Linked DNA regions of Saccharomyces cerevisiae S288C. The gene in region 2 interacts genetically with the main gene of each other region. Each region holds a gene or a part of one and is shown on either strand. Other genes may lie near its edges.

Region 1 (3,756 bases), on a different chromosome or scaffold from region 2:
GTTTCTGAATTAATTGTTTCTTTGTAGGACACCATCAACTGACCAAATTCAACATCTGCTTTTAGGTCATTAACCAATCGATCCTTGGCAATTTCAAGGTGTAATTCACCCATACCGTTTAAAACCGTTTGGCCAGTCTCATCATTTTGAGAAATTGAAAGACTGGGATCTTCAGTAATTAAAGTGTTTAAAGCTTCTTCCATCGATTTTTTATTACTTAAAGTCCTTGGTTCGATGGAAACACCAAAAACTGGTGGGGGAATGAAGATAGAATTGATTTTTAACGTCAACTCCTTTTTTTTATCAAGTGATTTCAACCCATCCTTCTTCGACGAATGCGTTATTAGTGTATCTCCAGTAGATATGTTGTTTTCGACTGTAGAGCCAGTAAGCAATCCGATTTGGCCCGCAGTTAAAATATTTACAGGTTGTGATGTTCCCGCATGGGGTATCAGTAATTTACCCAATTTAAATTTTTCCCCAGTAGTAGAATTATAAACGGTATTGCCACTGTTTAGTGTACCTGAATAAATTCTAATGAATATTTGTTTACCCCTGATTGGATCCGTAATCACTTTGAATGCAAGAGCAATGCAAAGATTTTTGTTGTTGTTTACTAAACATCCAACTTTGGGGTCATATTTCATTGGAACGGTTTTATCATTTAGTTCTGGTAGTTCGGCTTCAATGGGCGAAGGGAGATAATTAACTATAGCATCTAATAGAGGCTGCACGCCAATATTTTTAAAAGACGCACCGCATAAGACAGGTACAATCATATTCTTCATAGTCAGTTTTCTTATTGAAGCGTTCAAAAACTGTGCGGAAACCTTGGAGTAATCGCCTTCTGCCTCCTCTAAGAAGTGCTGGACTAAATCTTCGTCGTATTCAGTCAAAGTCTCTATCATCGATTCCCTACAACGATTACACTGCTCAAGAGAAGTACCATCCAACTCATCCACGATAATTTCATCAGGATTTTCTGGATTCCAGGTTAATCGCTTCCCATTTACGACGTCAATAACACCTTGGAAAACATAATCATTGCTAGTCGGTTGTTTTCGATAGTAAGGAATGTTTACCAACACCGGTTTGGTAGTTGTTCCTCTCATAAATTTATTTATCAAGTCATTGACTGTATGGTTGAAACTCGCCCCCATACGATCCATTTTGTTGATAAAGCAGATTTTGGGCTTCGATTTACTTTGCTTCCAAACCTTCTCTGTCTGTGCCTCTACGCCGGCAACAGCGTCCAAAATGACCACGCATGAATCAATAACTTTCAAAGCCCTAATCACTTCAAAAGTAAAATCTATATGTCCCGGCGTATCAATAAGATTTATTGCAAAAGTATTTCGCCATGGGAATGAAATCGCAGCGCTTTGAATTGTGATACCTCGGGATCTCTCCTGCTCTAAAAAATCAGTTATCGTATCGCCAGTGTCGACGTCTCCAATATGCTTTGAGATTCCTGCATAATAAAGCATCCTCTCTGTTGTGGTAGTTTTACCTGCATCGATATGGGCTATAATTCCTATATTTCTAACCTTAGACAGTGGACTTCTTGCGGTCGATAAGTATCTACTTCCAACGTTAATTACACTTAATCGGTTCTTGCTAATGTTTACTCTTGCGCCCGCCCATCTGCGCACATTCCATTTCCACATAGCCTCCCTCACTTATCTTGCCCCTTTTGTATATCTCTGACTGCCGTTTTGCCACCAGAAAGCTTGTTGATCTATTTCACATTATCTTCTTTTAACCGCCCAGCCTCCGCGCCGTCGTCGTTCTCTGTGCTGATTGGTTATCTCCCCTCTCACTAAGGGAAGGCCTCAAAAATTGTCGAAATGAGAAGAGGCTGAAACGATTTACTAATCATCATAGCCTGCTTAAACGAGTTAACACTAAGGGGAAGGGTACGACTATCATTTGTTCGGATCTCTGAACCGGATATTTTCTTTGTTACACACATCAAGTTTTTGCATGAATAGATCATATTTCGAATGATTTAACGTATTACAGCTTAGCAATAAAGGGAGTAAAGAAATAATATATTTGGATACAGCATACAAGAATATATATACATATGACCAAAAAACTACCTTCAGAGTTGAAACAGACGAGAAAGTCTATCCAGACAGCTTGTGAATTCTGTCATACCAAACATATACAGTGTGACGTAGGGAGGCCATGTCAAAACTGTTTAAAAAGAAATATTGGGAAGTTTTGCAGAGATAAGAAAAGGAAATCAAGAAAACGAATTGAGAAGCATGGAACACAACCATACTTGAATTTGGGGAAGAGGCTGGTAATACATGATGTGCCGTCGAAGACGGTATCCCCCTCAAGCGTACATCTGCAGCGAGATTTTCTATCTTCAGATCAGGAAAAACCAGGCAAAACACCTGCCCACAATACGAATATCCAATATACGTATAATATAAATGATAACTTTCAAAGCGCTGGATCTATTCCACGTATTACGAACTTCAATACGAATAACCGCCAGACCGTCTTAGAAAATACTTCTAATAATATATCAGCTTCACAAGCAGTACATTTAATGAATGACCCCATCATACCCACCGTACGGAAGAGTACTCTCAATTTAAAGTCGCATTTCCTAGAGCAACATAAAGCAATGCAGCAGCCGCTGGCTACCAATTGTTTGGTTGCTACTTCAAACGTTCCTGTGCACTCTGGAATGGACGATAGTAATAAGAGTGACGATGATGTCGATGACGAAACTAATATTCACTTTGATAGTATGTGGTGCAATGACGAATACATGAAATTAAAGGATATAGTAGATATTTCAACGCCGTTTTTACCGAATAACTCCCAGATATTTTCCCTCCAAGAATCAGAATATCCCAATCCTAGCGCATCTACACGGGGAAATTCGTCATTGCATTTAACGAACCTTTTAAACTCGACAAAAAGCGTGAATGACCAAAAGGACTCCTCGATCGGCCATTCCACTTCTACTTTCAATACATATGATGAAGTAGTGTCTAGGCCCTTTATATCTTTAGACATGCTGCATTTGAATCGTGGAGCAAACGCTAATACACACCCATCACATAACGCCAAACTGGAAAGCGAATGTGACAGTTCTAGTCACTCCGATGCAGATCTGGAGAAACATGATACCGATTTCATATCACCTTCAAAGTTTCGTGAATTAGTAAAGACTCCTCAAGACCTATATGACAATAAATGTTTAATAAAACCGCATAATTACAAGCTCGCATACACCAAACTGCTAACTACTTTAAGAAAAAAATTTCTTGAAGGAGCTGAAATTGATAAATCTGCCTCAGTAAAAGACGAACACAGTACCCAAAAGCATAATTTGAGATATGATTTAGAAGTTATAATACGCTCTATACTAGAAAGATATGCTCCAATTTTCATTTCGTTAACATCCAATATGATTGAAGAGGATTTGCTATTACAGGAAGTTACCTTGCAAAGGGCTTTATTAGATTTGGAGAACATGGCAAAATTAGTAAGCTGCACACCGATGTGCATCTGGAGAAGATCAGGCGAGATTTGTTTTGTCAGTAACGAATTCTATTCTTTAACAGGTTTTAACAAAAATTTACTATTAGACCGCACCTCCTTTATTTTTGAATATCTGGATCATAAAAGCGTTTCGAATTACTTTCAAATATTTAACGAATTGCTGGCATTTGGTTACAATGATATCAATAAAAGGAAAAAACTATTGATGTTGAACGCATGTTCTTCTAC
Region 2 (3,756 bases):
CAACGATGCCAAGAATGCCAACGAGAAGAACAAGACTTACTGATAGGATGAGTTTCTTACTTTTTTTCTCCTTTTAATTGCGCTAATCTTTTATTTATGTGTAGTTTTTATTTATGTGAAATGGAACATTCGTTGATTTAACTTTAAAAGCAGCCTACTCTATCGTCTTGATTATACTTGGCACAACAAATGCTCAAATAAACGAAAAATTTCATATTGTTGGTACTTTTTCTCAACGCGGTTTTTTTCCTGTTTTTTTCGAGCAGTTCCCGAGGGCATATTTAACATAAGCCAAGGAGAGAGAAAAAACGTTTGTTGGACAGATCAAAAAGAAAAAGAAGAAGACCTCTCCTCTATCTCAAGCTTCTGCCCCCCCCCCCGGAAGGAATTCAAGCACGAAGGTGAACATTGCCTACAAGAAAAAATGGATGTTTTATTGTCGCTTCCTCAACCGGAATTATTTAAGACCACGGTGATTCCGTTCTTGGCAAATCGCAATATAATCAAGTCGGAAGCGATTCTCTCCAACTTGCACTCAATTTTTTATGTTGCTATATTCTACCATATTTGGTTTCTTTTTGGCAAATGGATCTTATTCCCACATTTGGTTAAATGGAAATTGGACTATGACCAAAAACATAACGTCAAGAAAGATGAGAAGACAACTTCGGAACGTCAAGCTCAACATTACAAAAAGAAGTACACTTCTTTGATCAATCAAAGTTCAGTCCACTTAATATCCCTACTGCAAAGCATAGTGGTCCTGTACTACTCATTGAAGTTCTTGCTTGATCCAAAAGCCTCGGCCGAGCCCTACCAAACCTCACACTCTCGAGTGTTTACAGAAAATCGAGACACTCAAGTCATCTGTATTTTTGCTATTGGTTATTTCGTCTGGGATATCTATATTTCCACCATGTATTCTACTTTCCCCTTCGTTGTGCACGGAATAATCTCCACCGTCGTGTTTTGCATCGGATTGAAACCGTACATCCAATATTACGCCCCAGTGTTCTTGATGTTCGAACTTTCCAATCCCTCCTTGAACTTTAGATGGTTCGGTATCAAATTTCTACCCCAGAAAAGCAAATTCTGCTCTCTACTGCTGCTGTTGAACAATTTGACGCTCATGGTCGTCTTCTTTGCCGCTAGAATCGCCTGGGGGTGGTTTCAAATTGGAAAACTATGTTACGACTTTTACCAGGTGCGCAATGAACCTGGTTTCTTAGTCTTTGACACCATTGTTATCCTTGCAGGCAATTTCGTCCTGGACATCTTGAATGTTATTTGGTTTTCTACCATGGTGTCTGTGGCTGCAAAGGTCTTGAAGAAGGGGGAGTCTGTAGACAAAGTCACTAAGAATGAACAATAATCCATGGAGGCACACTTTAACATGTGCATATATGTGTATATAGACTATAAACTTGTGTAAGCTATGCGAGCATTACAAACCTAGAAAATTACAGGCAATAAATCAATATTGATACATGGCGAATTTTTGTGGGGGGGGGGCAGGATCTTTGCCTACATTTTCTTCTTTAATTTTACCTAGACTGAGCGATTCTGCCACCTTCAGGACTACTGAACACTTTCAATGCTACTTTTGCCAGAATTATACTATACTACCACACTTTCATGTGATGAAACGTGAAACTCTAATCACGAGATTTAGGGGGAGGTGTTTCATATGCGGATAACGCCGTTCTCGCGCAAGCTGATTTTCCATTGCTTAATAAAAAGGCGAAAAGCCTCCTACATAGAGGATGATGTTGGTTTGACCGTGATTGATGTCCAAGTAGCTGTGGCTTATTGGGTATTCTTTCGGAAGCTTTTGTGATTTTTTTGTTAAGGTTTGAGAGTGGTTAATTGAGCCAAATACGGCGCGGTACAGGTAAAGAGAGAAGAATCATAAAGAAAGCTGTTTTCTTTATCCTAGTCTACTTTTTATGGCTTTGTGTGCTAAAAGAAGAAAAACAAGAGATAATTAAGTGGATTAATAGATGTCTGACTATTTCACGTTTCCTAAGCAGGAGAATGGCGGTATCTCGAAGCAGCCTGCGACACCAGGTTCAACTCGGAGCTCTTCTAGAAATTTGGAGTTACCGAAGAACTATCGTTCATTTGGTGGTAGTAGCGATGAACTGGCATCTATGTATTCCGCCGACTCCCAGTACTTGATGGATATGATTCCTGATTCATTGACGCTGAAAAATGAGCCAGCATCTGGAAATACGCAAATGAACGGGCCAGATGGCAAAGAGAATAAGGACATAAAACTTGACGAGTATATATTACCCAAGACAGACCCAAGGTCACCCTACTATATTAACATGCCTATACCTAAAAAATTGCCGAAGAGTGAAGGTAAGGCGAGGGCTAAACAAAAGGTTAACAGGGCTGATCCTTCTGATTTAGATGTGGAGAACATTTACGAAACTTCCGGGGAGTTTGTTAGAGAGTATCCGACAGATATTTTGATTGATAGGTTTCACAAATGGAAGAAAATCTTGAAAAGTTTGATCGCTTACTTCAGAGAAGCTGCCTACTCTCAGGAACAAATTGCAAGGATCAACTACCAGATGAAAAATGCCGTAAAATTTGCTTTTCTTACTGATTTGGAAGATGAAACAAACAAACTGGTTGATCCAAGTATATCTAAGTTGCCTACTAAGAAACCTCAGCCTGTCCCATTGGCCGCTCAAAAATTGGACAGCAAGTACGACACAGATGTGGAACAGCCGCAGTCAATCCAATCAGTACCTTCGGAAGAGGTAGCTTCAGCTTCTTCTGGCTTCATGAAATTTGGGTCAGGATCCATTCAAGATATTCAAGTGATTTTGAAGAAGTACCATTTATCTTTGGGTAGTCAACAATATAAGATCTCTAAGGAAATCTTGGCATATATTATACCCAAATTGACCGACTTGCGTAAGGATTTGACCACAAAGATGAAAGAAATTAAAGAATTAAATGGAGATTTCAAGACTAACATAGGCGAGCATATCAAAATAACAAGCAGGCTTCTGAATAAATATATTGCTTCAGTGAAGTTATTAGATGAAGCATCCACTTCGGGCGATAAGCAAGGTGAAAAATTAAAACCAAAACACGATCCATACCTTTTGAAATTACAACTAGATTTGCAGCTGAAAAGACAATTACTCGAAGAAAACTATCTTCGAGAAGCTTTTCTGAATTTACAATCAGCAGCACTACAACTGGAGAAAATAGTATATTCTAAAATTCAATCCGCATTACAGCGCTACTCAGCGTTAATTGATTCAGAAGCACGATTAATGATCAAAAATTTGTGCCATGAATTGCAGCAAGGTATTCTATCTAGACCACCGGCTGTAGAGTGGGATAATTTTGTCTCTCATCATCCTACCTGTCTGATGAATTTAAAATCGACAGACCCGCCACCGCAACCCAGAAGATTATCTGATATTGTTTATCCTAACATGAAATCGCCGCTGGCCAAATGCATTAGAGTAGGATATCTACTGAAGAAAACAGAGTCTTCTAAAAGTTTTACTAAAGGTTATTTTGTGTTGACTACAAATTATCTTCACGAATTCAAAAGCAGCGATTTCTTTCTAGACAGCAAGTCTCCCCGTTCAAAAAATAAACCTGTTGTTGAACAATCAGACATTAGCCGTGTGAATAAGGATGGGACTAACGCTGGCAGTCACCCATCGAGCAAAGGGACACAGGATCCGAAACTGACGAAGAGAAGAAAGGGTTTGAGTTCTTCGA

Evidence for each region.
Region 1: mutations in RGC1 (region 2) and MEF2 together harm fitness more than expected from each alone (negative genetic interaction), as found in Saccharomyces cerevisiae (one large-scale study listed by BioGRID).

What each region holds. Positions count from the first base shown.
Region 1 is NC_001142.9:229,212-232,967, reverse strand, and holds the start of MEF2 (mitochondrial elongation factor MEF2), read right to left. Parts: upstream 1,668-3,756; coding exon 1-1,667. Other genes in the region: GSM1 (Gsm1p), read left to right, coding at 2,087-3,756. UniProt on the Saccharomyces cerevisiae protein: Mitochondrial GTPase that mediates the disassembly of ribosomes from messenger RNA at the termination of mitochondrial protein biosynthesis. Not involved in the GTP-dependent ribosomal translocation step during translation elongation.
Region 2 is NC_001148.4:752,877-756,632, forward strand, and holds the start of RGC1 (Rgc1p), read left to right. Parts: upstream 1-2,000; coding exon 2,001-3,756. Other genes in the region: PIS1 (CDP-diacylglycerol--inositol 3-phosphatidyltransferase), read left to right, coding at 1-43; ALE2 (Ale2p), read left to right, coding at 425-1,372. UniProt on the Saccharomyces cerevisiae protein: Positive regulator of FPS1 glycerol channel required for the glycerol efflux.